3 linked regions of the Cricetulus griseus genome follow. The protein of the gene in region 3 purifies or fractionates together with the protein of the main gene of each other region. This does not show direct contact. Links are inferred from orthologs where the notes say so. Each region holds a gene or a part of one and is shown on either strand. Other genes may lie near its edges. The genes, in order: Kctd10, Klhl9 and Usp25.

Region 1 (3,651 bases), about 76 Mb from region 3:
GTGTGTCCCACATGCGGGATGCCGGATCTATCTGCCACCTTCCTTTCCCCACTGCAAATGGGCCCTACCTCATTGAGACATTGGGAGACGTTTGCAGAGTAACCCTGGGATCTACTTGCTGTAACAGAGCTCTGCTTCCAAAGGTTTTGAACACAACTGTCAGGGAACCATTCCCCCATCATTAGAATGTGGTCATTTGTACATCCCACCTGGGATGCTGTTGTCTAGGTGATACTTGACGGTACTTGAGAAACATTTTGTGCTCAGATCTTTACCTTAGCAGTTGTGTCATCTGTAGATTGCAATCCTTCAAGCTCCACCCTGAGACTGCCTCCCTATGTTTGTTGGAAGTCCAGAGAAACCTCCAGACACACTCCCTTTACTCTTTGTGTATCCTGAAGCAGGACCAGTAAGGGCCAAATCCACAGAGCACATGTAGTCAGTAGCTTTTCCTTTGTGCTGCGATAGCTTGTGATTAAGCCTTCCCTGAGCCTTGGAGCTGTGTCTAGCCCTCACTGGGACAGTATTCATTGTCTTGCCACACACATCTCTTGCCTGTGAGCCCTTGTAAATGTTATCCATTCACTGGAGTCATTCTTACATTTATTGACATTGTGCAGGCACATCATGCAGGAAGTACAGCGACACTGCATGGTTGATGGCTTGTGCCACCATTGCCTTCCCACCTCCCATGCCCCTTTCCCCAGGCAGGCTCTCTGCTGCTGTCTATTCTTAGCTTTAGACAGGACCTACTGGACTTAGAAAATTAGACTTCTCGTATATTCCCTCCCCTCCACCAAGCTTGCATGTTCCTTCTCGCAGAAGAGTTTAATCACAGCTTTGGGTTAGACAGTGTCCTAGTTCACCCTGTCATTGTCAATCTTGCTGTGCCCTGTGGCATTTTGTTTGCTTGATTTCTAATTGCATTTCTGTCCCTACTTGATCCCCAGGTTCACAGATAGGAGGGCCAGTCTCATGCTGGACTGTCCAGATGTCTCCAAGATCCTCTGTCACCTTTGTGTCGGGACATGTCCTCTGGCTTCTGTCTACAGATCTGAGGTTCATCCTCCAGGACATGGCTCCTTGTCACTTCCCTACCATGTCTGGAAGCTGTTTTCATGTTGTGTTGCCCTTGTTTCAGAAGGTTCCCCTCCCCCATCTATTTGTCATTCAATCTGCTCTGTCTGCTCCTTCAGTGGCTCTCTCCCTTGAATTTTCACTGTTTCTGTTGGTTCCAGTGTCATGTTTGAGAGGCTTCCCATACATAATTGGATGACCCTTGGTTTCTGTTGAGGCCCAAGGAAAAGCCACATATGTGGGGCTGTCAGTCCTAGTCTTCTGGAGCCTTCGTGGTTGGATAATAGACTGACTGACTTCACTGATAGCCTCTTGTTCAGAAGATGATGCCCTGTGAGGAGCTCTCTACTGCCAGCTGTGGCATTGCCTGAAATCCAGGCTTTCAGAAGGCTTGGGGGAGTTGCACATTGTTAGAGCAGTAACGCATCTCTGCCCTCTGTCACCACTGCAGGAATGTGGACCTTTCTTTGGCTGACTGAGCTGGCTCTGCCCTCACCCCAGCCCCCAGTCTGCAGTGGTCCCCGAGGACTTTCAGGCTTTCTTCTTCCCTCACATGAGCTCCCTCTGGCTCCCTCCTTGCCTTTCAGCTGGAGTCTGCTTGCCAGCTCAACCCATGACGCAGTTTGTCTTCTGACTCCACTTTGCCTGTTCTCTTCATTCTGCTGCTGTCATTAGAGTGGATTGTAGGGGCTTTTGATGTCACCGCCTGACATACTGAGGGCTTCCTGGGCAGAGAGAGCTGTGTCATTCTTGTATTTAGTGGGCAGTCAGGCATATCACAGCCCTAAACAGCAGACTCCTCCCCTAGCCTTACCCTTCCTAATTATCAGGTGCAAAGTGTCCTCTCCTCCCGCCATGACTGTCCTGTGTCTCCTCATCAGGGCCTGGCTTTCTGGCTGGTCAGCTTAAACAGCTGTGTGCTAGGCAGACCCCCGGGCTGAAAGCATGTCTTGTTCCAGCAGAACAAAGATACTTATGAACCCTTCTGCAAGGTTCCTGTCATCACCTCCTCCAAGGAAGAACAGAGACTTATAGCGACTTCAAATAAGGTGTGTAGAGGCTTGGGAGTGGGATGTGTGTGTGGGGGGGGGGAGATGTTGTCCAGGCTCAGAGGCAGGGGTGGCAGCAGTGCCTGTGTTTTGAGATAAAGTTCCCGTTCTAAGTGTTAAGCCCCATCTCCTATGTTACCCCTGTCCCCGGAACCCGCAGCAACCCTCCTCCTGTAAGCTCTGCAAGCCTGTGCCCACAGCCACTGGGAAGCCAGTGTGTACTGACCCACATGTCTAGTGACTGTCCTCTCCTTTTACCCACCCACAGCCGGCTGTGAAGCTGCTCTATAACAGAAGTAACAACAAATACTCCTACACCAGGTAAGCACCAGCCAGCAGTTATGCCAGGCTCTGCCTGTGTCTATTTCACACCAGAAGGGTCCTCTGGGTCCTTAGCTGGGTGGATAGATGGGTAGGTGAAACTTTGGGTGGAATTCCCCATGCCACACAATTCACCTTTTGTGTTGTACAGTTGAGTGGTTTTGACATACCCACAATGTGCAGTCACCAACACTTGCTAGTATTGAAAGATTTTTTTCACCCTGCTAGCAGTCCTTCTCAGCTTCCCTGGCCAGAGCAGTTGTTAGCCTACATTTCTGTGTCTGTAAATTTGCCTGTTTCAAACATGTCATGATTTTGCGGCTGATCTCTTCACTTAAGGTAATGTTTTCAGGGTCCATGCACTGTAGCACCATCCGTATGTCATTCTCCTTTATGGCAAACTGTCACACTTCACTCATCAGCATGGCCAGGCGTGGGGTCGTTGGCAGCTTCTGACGATTATGAACAATACTGCTGAAAGTTTAAGTTTAATGTTTTATGGACTGAGGTGTTCCTTTCTTTTAAACATGAGGAGTGAGCTGCTGGTCATCTGTGACTTGTTTAGTTACTGGGGACTGTACTGTTTGAACAGTGCCACCAGCAAGTGGCAGGTGTTTCTAGAGTCCCCTTGGCTCTCAGGAACACACCCTGTAAATGAGCGACTTGAGAGATGTAGGGATTTAATGAGCTGAGCGGTGATGGCACACACCTTTAATCCCAACACTCAGGAGGCAGGGGCAGGAGGATCTCTGAGTTCCAGGCCAGCCTGGTCTACGGAGTGAGTTCCAGGACAGTCAGGGCTACCCTGTCTGAAAGAAACAAAAACAAAACAAAGGTCTTCCTTGGGCTCTGCTGTTATGTACCTCATGGGGCTTGGCAGAGAAGGGTAGGGCAGGCTCAGTAGCCTGTGCCCAGAGGTCCTGCATTCAGTAATCTACTGCAACCATGGGTTATGAGCACAGCCTTCAGGCCACAACTGTCTTTGGAGACCTAGCTCTGCCATTTGTACACTTTGGGACTTGGTGAACTGATGTCTTTGGGCGTCCTTTTCCTTCTCGGGCAGTAAATAATTACAGTGTCTTAGTGTTGCAAAGGCTCACTAAGTAGAAATAGAGAAGGAGAAGGAACCAGGGAGGCCTGGGCAGACATCTGCAGCCTGTGTTCACCTCACTGAACACTCTTTGCAGCAATTCTGACGACAATA
Region 2 (3,751 bases), on a different chromosome or scaffold from region 3:
AAGATATCTAATTTTTCATATATCTTTCACTTGTTAAAACAGCTAAATATGTGTTAAAACACATTTTTTTCAGAATGTACTTGGTAGCCATTTAATAACATATTAAGCAAAACAAAAAACCCTAAGTTACCTTTTTGTCTATTAACTGTAGAGAGTAATAAGAGACAATTGAAGGGGAAGGGAGATCATCCATGAATACACTGAAAAGGTATTACACCTTGTATCTAAGAATGATCTGAAGGTGCTGAAAGAGGCGATTCTCTTGAAGGTGACCCAGGGTTTTCTTCAGGCGGAAAAACTGTGAGAGTACAAGCCCGAATGCCGCCAAGTGACTCTGGAAGATCAAAAACTTTATGCCACTCATCTTTTTCCGGGTCGTACTTCTGGACAATTTCTACCATGCAACGGTTATTCCAAGAATATCCACCAACAACATAGATTTTGTTTTCAAAAACAGCAACTCCAACATCACTCTGACCTCTCAGCATAGCAGCAATTGGAGTCCACTGGTCAAGAGTTGGTGAATAATATTCGCAGCTGAGAACATCATCATAATCACTTGTTCCTCTGAAGTGGTTGCCACCAATCACATACAGCTTGTCTCCAACTGTACACATGCAGTGCAGGCCTCGGACTGTAGTCATAGGAGCCTTCTGTGTCCATTTGTCTGTATCTGGGTCAAAACACATGAGCTCATTTTGGAAAGTGTCATGAGTAATTCCTCCTGAAATATACATTAGACCCCCATACACTGTTCCGGCATGACCATAGTGGGGTTCACTCATTTTCGCAACATAGCTCCATTCGTTCATTCTTGGGTTGTAACATTCTACTGTGGCCAGTTCACCAGCTGCACTGCGCCCACCAACTGCATACAAATGTCCTTTAAGGGCACTCAGGTGAAAGAATGTGCGCTTTTCATTTAATGATGCCACCTGCATCCATTTATTATACCGAGGGTCAAATCTGAAAACTGTATCAACAGCAGTTTTTCCTTTTGTATCATAATTACTCTGACCACCAACTACATAAAGGAAATTTCCAATAACAGCAATGCCATGCTGGTATCGAGGAGCATCCATGGGGGCTAAGGACTTCCACTCCTGTGCCCTTTCATCGTACATCCTCAATTCTTTACTGACCACTAGCTGCTGCCTCAGAACGCCTCCTAAGGTAACAAGGTGAGTGGAATCAGAGCGAATGGCAGTTCTGTCTGACTGCATCACTGGCTGCATATATGGCATCATTTGGTAATTGCTTGCTTCCAAAAGTAAATTCACACAGGTATTGTCTGTTCTCATGAAATCTACTGTCTGCACATAGTTGATGAGGTCCTGTGGTGTCATCAGTGGAAATCGAATATTCTTCATTAATTTTGCAGCATAGTCCATCCGAGGGTCTTCCAGCCTCAACCAGCGGCAGGCTGCCTTGAAAAGTTCAAGTTCGGAACAGTGCTTGAGACTATTGCTGGAAAGCACAAAGGCAAGCCGTTCAAAGGGGAGTTTTAGGAACTCCCCAGTACTCAGCAATGCAGGAAAGTTCTTCAGGATGAAATTATTTACATATTTATCCACTTCTATAAGATTGTAGGTGTTAGCAATCCGTCCGACCTCAACACAGTTATCTAAAGAGACGCCTGATATAAGAAATACTTTACAAAAGTCCAAAACTGGTAAGATTTGTAGAAAGCTGGCAGCTTCAAGGGTGTCCTGAAGATTGTCCATGTTAAGGGACAATTTTGCGGTATAAATAAAATCAATGATTTTCTTCAGGCCAACTTTGTTCACCCCATGAAGTTTAATGCACATTAAATCTTGTTCTTTCATTCCGCCTGTGAACATGGCCTTGAAATAATCGCTAGCAGACGCCATCATGGCTCTATGAACCGGGAAGATCTCATCGCCATCACCAGGTACCAGAGTCACGTCACAAAGCAGGCCCTCGAGTCTGAGCTGATCAAAGCCTTGCAACACCACCGAGCTGTGGGTATTGCTGGTAAAAAACCGCGTCGTTCCTGCCTTGCAGGGCTGCAGGTGGGCAGAGACGCCCATCTCGCCGCCGGTACCGAGAGACACCTTCATGTGAGAGCCCTGCGTTCGCAGCGAGCCACAGGCCGCAGACGTTACAAAGAGAACGCTCTGAGCAAACTCAGGGCCGCAGAACGAACCAAGGGCGATCAGTCGCCGCAGCCCCGCTCCGCTCCGCTCCGCGCACACCCACGCCCGCCCTGCGGCAGGATCACGCAACGCGGCCGGCGGACCTCAAATGTGACAGTAAAGCCGGTGAGTCATAACCTGAGGCAGTTCAGCGACCGCTTCACCGCGGCGGGCCCGCGCTGTCGTCCTCTGCAGCTGCTCTCGGGGCGGGGGAGGGGCCGTCACGGCCTGCGCACCGCCGCCACCGCCCGCCGGGCTCCGCACCTCCGCCAGTCGCCGCTACGCCCTCGGAGGTCCGCGTAGCGTCTCCTCGGCCACCGGCTCGGCTGGGAGCAGGACCTGGAACTCTGGTTTAGGGCTGGAACGGCGGCCTAGACCGAACACCTAGCTCGTCCTTCCGGAAAGGCCGAATCCCAGGATCCCCCGGGTTAGGAGCGGCTGCACAGCTACTGCGCCTGCGCGGCTGGCCTGGCAAGGGGGCGGGCGGATGGGGGAAGGGCGCGGGCGGGCTGGGGGCGGGGTTGCGCTCCCCCAGCGAGGCCCTGGAGGGGGCCCCCTTCTTGCAAGCTTGCAGGAGTGCGCAGGCGTGCATGCATGCTTGCTGCGTGAGGTTTTCTTACCACTTTCCAAGAGCGCATTCTTTCTAAGATTTACGCTTCTTCGCTTGTGCCAGAACAGCCACGAAACGCAGCCTTTGTTAAAAACTGAGGAGAAACCTGGCAGAATAAGTCATTGTATCATTTAATTAAAAAAAAAAGTTTTACAATTTACATCACACTCAATAAATGCCTCACTTAAAATAGGAGTTGTAAGTGTTTTTAAGCATTTAAAACACGTGGCATTTAACTTGTTACTAAAGTTTGGTCCTAATGATACCTCTTGAAGACTTGGAGGGAGAGGGAAAGCCATCATAAAGACTTTATTCATGGTTTTGTTTCCTAAATACTTTTTAAATGGTTGCACAATTTCCCAATAATTAAGCATGTTATAGTTTACTTTGCCCACTGTTTTTCTCCTGAGTGTATAAACCTTGTCCTTCATTGTCTTATGGAAAATTAATAAGCTTAGAGAATTTGCACACAAAACCTTATTCTCTATTGAATAATGATAATATTTATTAGAATATTCAACTCAATGTTTCCAAAATAATGTTACCAGCACTGCTTGGGTTTGCATTTCCCTTCTCTTGGATTTCCCTTTTATGACTTTTTTTATTTATTAAAACACAGTTCTCTAATTGCAAATTTTAATTGTGATTTGCAATAAGTGTATAATTTGCCATAACTCTCTATTCTCTGAATTTGACGTTATCGCTGTCTTTAAATCTTTCTAGCATTTTCTTGTATGCAAACTAAAAATATGCTTATGTTCTTCTACTTCCTGTTTTGGTTTTTTTCTTTTTTTACTAAATAGCATATATCCTGTTATATCTTTCTCTTTTTTTGTTGTTGTTCAAGATTTTCCAAAATCGGTATATAGAGAGCTTACTTAAAACATGTTGTAGAGGCTAGTAGACCAGCATTGTTTTTCCAAGGTGCTCTAGCAGCAATCCAACCTATTTGATACAAGAGCCCTGTTTAAATGAGACTGATCTT
Region 3 (3,651 bases):
GAAATAAAATATTGTGCTACATAAATTTCTATTTATATGTTACTATGCTTGAAACATTAATAGTTCAGGGCTAGGTATGTAATTAATGATTCCTTAAAGTGAATTTAGGAAATGCCTGGTTTTTATCTTGAGCTCATGAACTGTAGACAAAGATAATGAAGTTTTTTCACTTTATAGTAGGAAAAAACCTGTGTTGCTATTGGAGAAAATGCGTTCCCAATACAGACATGCTACATAATATTCTCTGAGCATCCTCTCATGTACTACAGAAATGTGTAGAAGACTGCTTTCCACAGTTTTGGTCACTTCACTTCTCCCAGCCACTGTGGGTTCTCATCAGTTAAAATGTGTAGTAAGTTAGTTGGAAAGATATTTAAAGGACTGAGGTAAATTTTGAAGTAACAATTCTAAAAGTATGCTGGCCTGTTTGAATATCACAAATGAAGTTTGGAATATTATCCTATGGAATCAGGAATTTGTCTATAAGAGATCAGAGACAATGTTTTAATTTTTATCTAACCTTAGAAATGAGAAAGAACTAAATGGAATGGGCTGGACAGATGGCTCAAAAGTTACGAGCTTGTGCCACTTATCCAGAGGTCCTGAGTTCAGTTCCAAGCTCGGAGCACACTACCTCCCATAACTCAATCTCCAGGGACTTTTCTCTTTTAAACCTAGCATAGCATACTTATTATACTAGGTCTTTGGTGATTCTTATAAAACATGTTCCTTATATCTGACCTGGGCAAAACCTTACTCATATTCAGTTCAGGTAAGTGTAGCAGAGCCAGTGATCAGTAGTGCTTGGGGAGGGAGAAATAGCAACAAATAAGTATATGACTTCTAGTAGCTTTACTTGGAGAAAAGTAGCAGCTCTAGATTCAAGTTCACTTCTTTTTGCTAAGCCTGAGATGTTTATTCCTGTGTTTGGGTTCAGGTCTAAGCTCATCCACACTTACTGAGGGGGTGTGGTGGCATTCTCCTGACACTGGGAGCATTGACACACTGTGAAGTAGGTGCTGCATTTCCTTCAACAGAATCTTGTTGTAGGGCTTATAAAAATAAACACTTAAAAAGCATTTGTTCTATTTTTTTTTACATCTCTATATTGGTTTGTGAATATAAACATTCATCTTTTTAAACAAATGGTAGGCTTTTGTAAATCTTGAAGTTTTCACGAAAAGAAGTTTTTTGAAGTTTTGTTGACTCATGTGCGCATGTGTGGATGACAACTGGGTCATAACAGCAAGAAATTTAACACTGTAAACACTAGTTTGTATTTGAATACTCTGAATATGTTTCTTATAAGCATAATTTTATTCACTGATGACAAATCTATTTCCTGAATTAGTATAATGTGTAGTTGTAAAATTCAAGGTAAAAATAAGAAGACAAAAGAATAATATAGGAAGATAATGTTTTCCCGAGAACAGTGAGTATTTGTACCAGACAAGTATTTTCTTCCCTTTCAGTCAAGTCATGGGATTTGACAAGCTGGTTGAGTTCAGTATCACTCAACATAAGACTGAAGAAGGCAGAGCTCTTGAGTCTTAATGGCAACAGGTGTCTCCTTTTCTTCTGGCTGGAATTTCTAATGTGAACAATTGTGGAAGAAGAGCCTTGTGGAGATAAGGCTTCCCTCTGTCCTCTTATTGTCAGACCCACTGTTGGGATTTGCAAATGCTGTGGAATTTTTCAAAAGGAAGTTTAGCTGTTAGGAAACCATTGTATTCCCTCCTCAGTGGTGTCAGATGGTGACATCAGCACCATCATTGCACCCTATCCATAAAAGTGCCATGGGGCAAAACAGAGAGGGAGATTCTGAGTGTCTGTTGTTGTTGTCTTTCAGCATTGGTTTACTGAGCTGCCACCTGTATTAACATTTGAACTGTCAAGATTTGAATTTAACCAGGCATTGGGAAGACCAGAAAAAATTCACAACAAATTAGAATTCCCCCAAGTTTTGTATCTGGACAGGTATGGTTTATTTAGAATGGTATAATTTTGCAACAGTTCAGTGAGTCTCAGCTTAACTGATATACGTTATCTCACTAATTGTCAAGGGAATGTTAATTTTCTTTTATATAACTGTATTTTGGAATGTTAAAATAGTTCTTGTTTTACATGTGATACCTTATAAAATTTCAGTTGATCTTTTGTTGTGATAATTAGGCTGCACACCATATCTATTTCCAAGATACTTGGGAATACTAATGATTGCTCGTTTTTTCCTTGATATAGGTATATGCACAGAAACAGAGAAATAACAAGAATTAAACGTGAAGAGATCAAAAGACTTAAAGATTACCTCACAGTATTACAACAAAGATTAGAAAGGTATTTTAACTGCTATGACATTGTGATGGGAAAGCATGTGTTTTGTGACTAGATTTTTAATGTTAAATATGCTTTGGGGAGCTTATAATAGTAGTCATAGATAATCATTCTGGATTTAAATTTTGATCAATAATTTCAGAAACTAGGTTGCACCTTTAATAGGCTTTAGATGATTATTTTAGAAATTGAAATTAAATATGTGATTATCAACAGCTTGTTACCCTGATGCTGTACATGGAGCTAAAGGACTCCAACACAGAGCATGAGATTTACTTTGTGCTGAAGGGAATGGCAAATAAGATAACACTAGTGTCCCTGGCCTCCCAAGATTCATGCAGCAGTGTCACTCGGGAATAAGATGGGCAGGGAGGGAAGATTATAGGAGTGTGACTGGAGCCAGTGCTATCAAGTACCCAAGGGAGGGCTGTATGTGCAGATGTTTTTACATCCACAGTACTGCTTGATTCCTTAGGAAACAGCATAAAATGTAGAATGTGGGTGTCATGCAGCCAGGTAAGTCTACAGGCTGAAATGCGGTTTGAGTAATTCAGGTTGCTTACCTCCAACTTTACCCTCTGCTTTGATTTTAGTCTTCATATTCATAACATAAAATGTTGAGTTTGGCTGGGCGTTGGTGGTGCACACCTTTAATCCCAGCACTCGGGAGGCAGAGGCAGGCAGATCTCTGTGAGTTCGAGGCCAGCCTGGTCTCCAGAGTGAGTGCCAGAATAGGCTCCAAAGCTACACAGAGAAACCCTGTCTCGAAAAAACAAAAACAAAACAAAACAAAACAAAACAAAAGTTGAGTTCAAATTATCATATTTCCAGTGACTTTTATTCATAAAAGATTCCCATACATGTATGAAAAGTGCTCACAAGGTAAATGATGTTAAAGTCACTACCTTGAAGGCAAGGCTAGAGTAGAGAAGGGAGCGTTTGCAGACGATTCATCACTGTGTCTTCCTGCTGATCCACAGTTTAGAAGAGCATCTTCTCACTGATCTGCAGTTTAGAACAGCACCTTAGGTATATCCGTACTCACGGCTTTCCATCTTGATCAGCTTTGCTGTCCTTCCCTTCAAGATCATTTAGTGCATTTCCTTAATGTGTATTCTGTTTCATCTTCTCCCTTAGAAAGTAAGCGAGTTTCATTTCTGCCTTATTTTATAAGACTTAGAAAACCAAATACGCTGACAATATATATAAAACTTTGGTATATTTTATTAACAGATATTTAAGCTATGGTTCGGGTCCCAAAAGATTCCCCCTGGTAGATGTTCTACAATATGCATTGGAATTTGCCTCCAGTAAACC

Evidence for each region.
Region 1: the proteins of Usp25 (region 3) and Kctd10 purify together in Homo sapiens (affinity purification with mass spectrometry; 4 studies listed by BioGRID and IntAct, counting the BioPlex papers as one, with this or other methods). This does not show direct contact. The link is inferred for Cricetulus griseus from reciprocal best matches to the Homo sapiens genes USP25 and KCTD10.
Region 2: the proteins of Usp25 (region 3) and Klhl9 purify together in Homo sapiens (affinity purification with mass spectrometry; 3 studies listed by BioGRID and IntAct, with this or other methods). This does not show direct contact. The link is inferred for Cricetulus griseus from reciprocal best matches to the Homo sapiens genes USP25 and KLHL9.

What each region holds. Positions count from the first base shown.
Region 1 is NC_048597.1:93,992,993-93,996,643, reverse strand, and holds part of Kctd10 (BTB/POZ domain-containing adapter for CUL3-mediated RhoA degradation protein 3), read left to right. Parts: intron 1-2,036; coding exon 2,037-2,126; intron 2,127-2,394; coding exon 2,395-2,447; intron 2,448-3,634; coding exon 3,635-3,651. UniProt on the Homo sapiens protein: Substrate-specific adapter of a BCR (BTB-CUL3-RBX1) E3 ubiquitin-protein ligase complex. The BCR(BACURD3) E3 ubiquitin ligase complex mediates the ubiquitination of target proteins, leading to their degradation by the proteasome.
Region 2 is NC_048595.1:59,402,549-59,406,299, forward strand, and holds the start of Klhl9 (kelch-like protein 9), read right to left. Parts: upstream 2,605-3,751; 5' UTR 2,082-2,604; coding exon 225-2,081; 3' UTR 1-224.
Region 3 is NC_048597.1:18,205,657-18,209,307, reverse strand, and holds part of Usp25 (ubiquitin carboxyl-terminal hydrolase 25), read left to right. Parts: intron 1-1,849; coding exon 1,850-1,977; intron 1,978-2,241; coding exon 2,242-2,337; intron 2,338-3,567; coding exon 3,568-3,651. UniProt on the Homo sapiens protein: Deubiquitinating enzyme that hydrolyzes ubiquitin moieties conjugated to substrates and thus, functions in various biological processes including inflammation and immune response.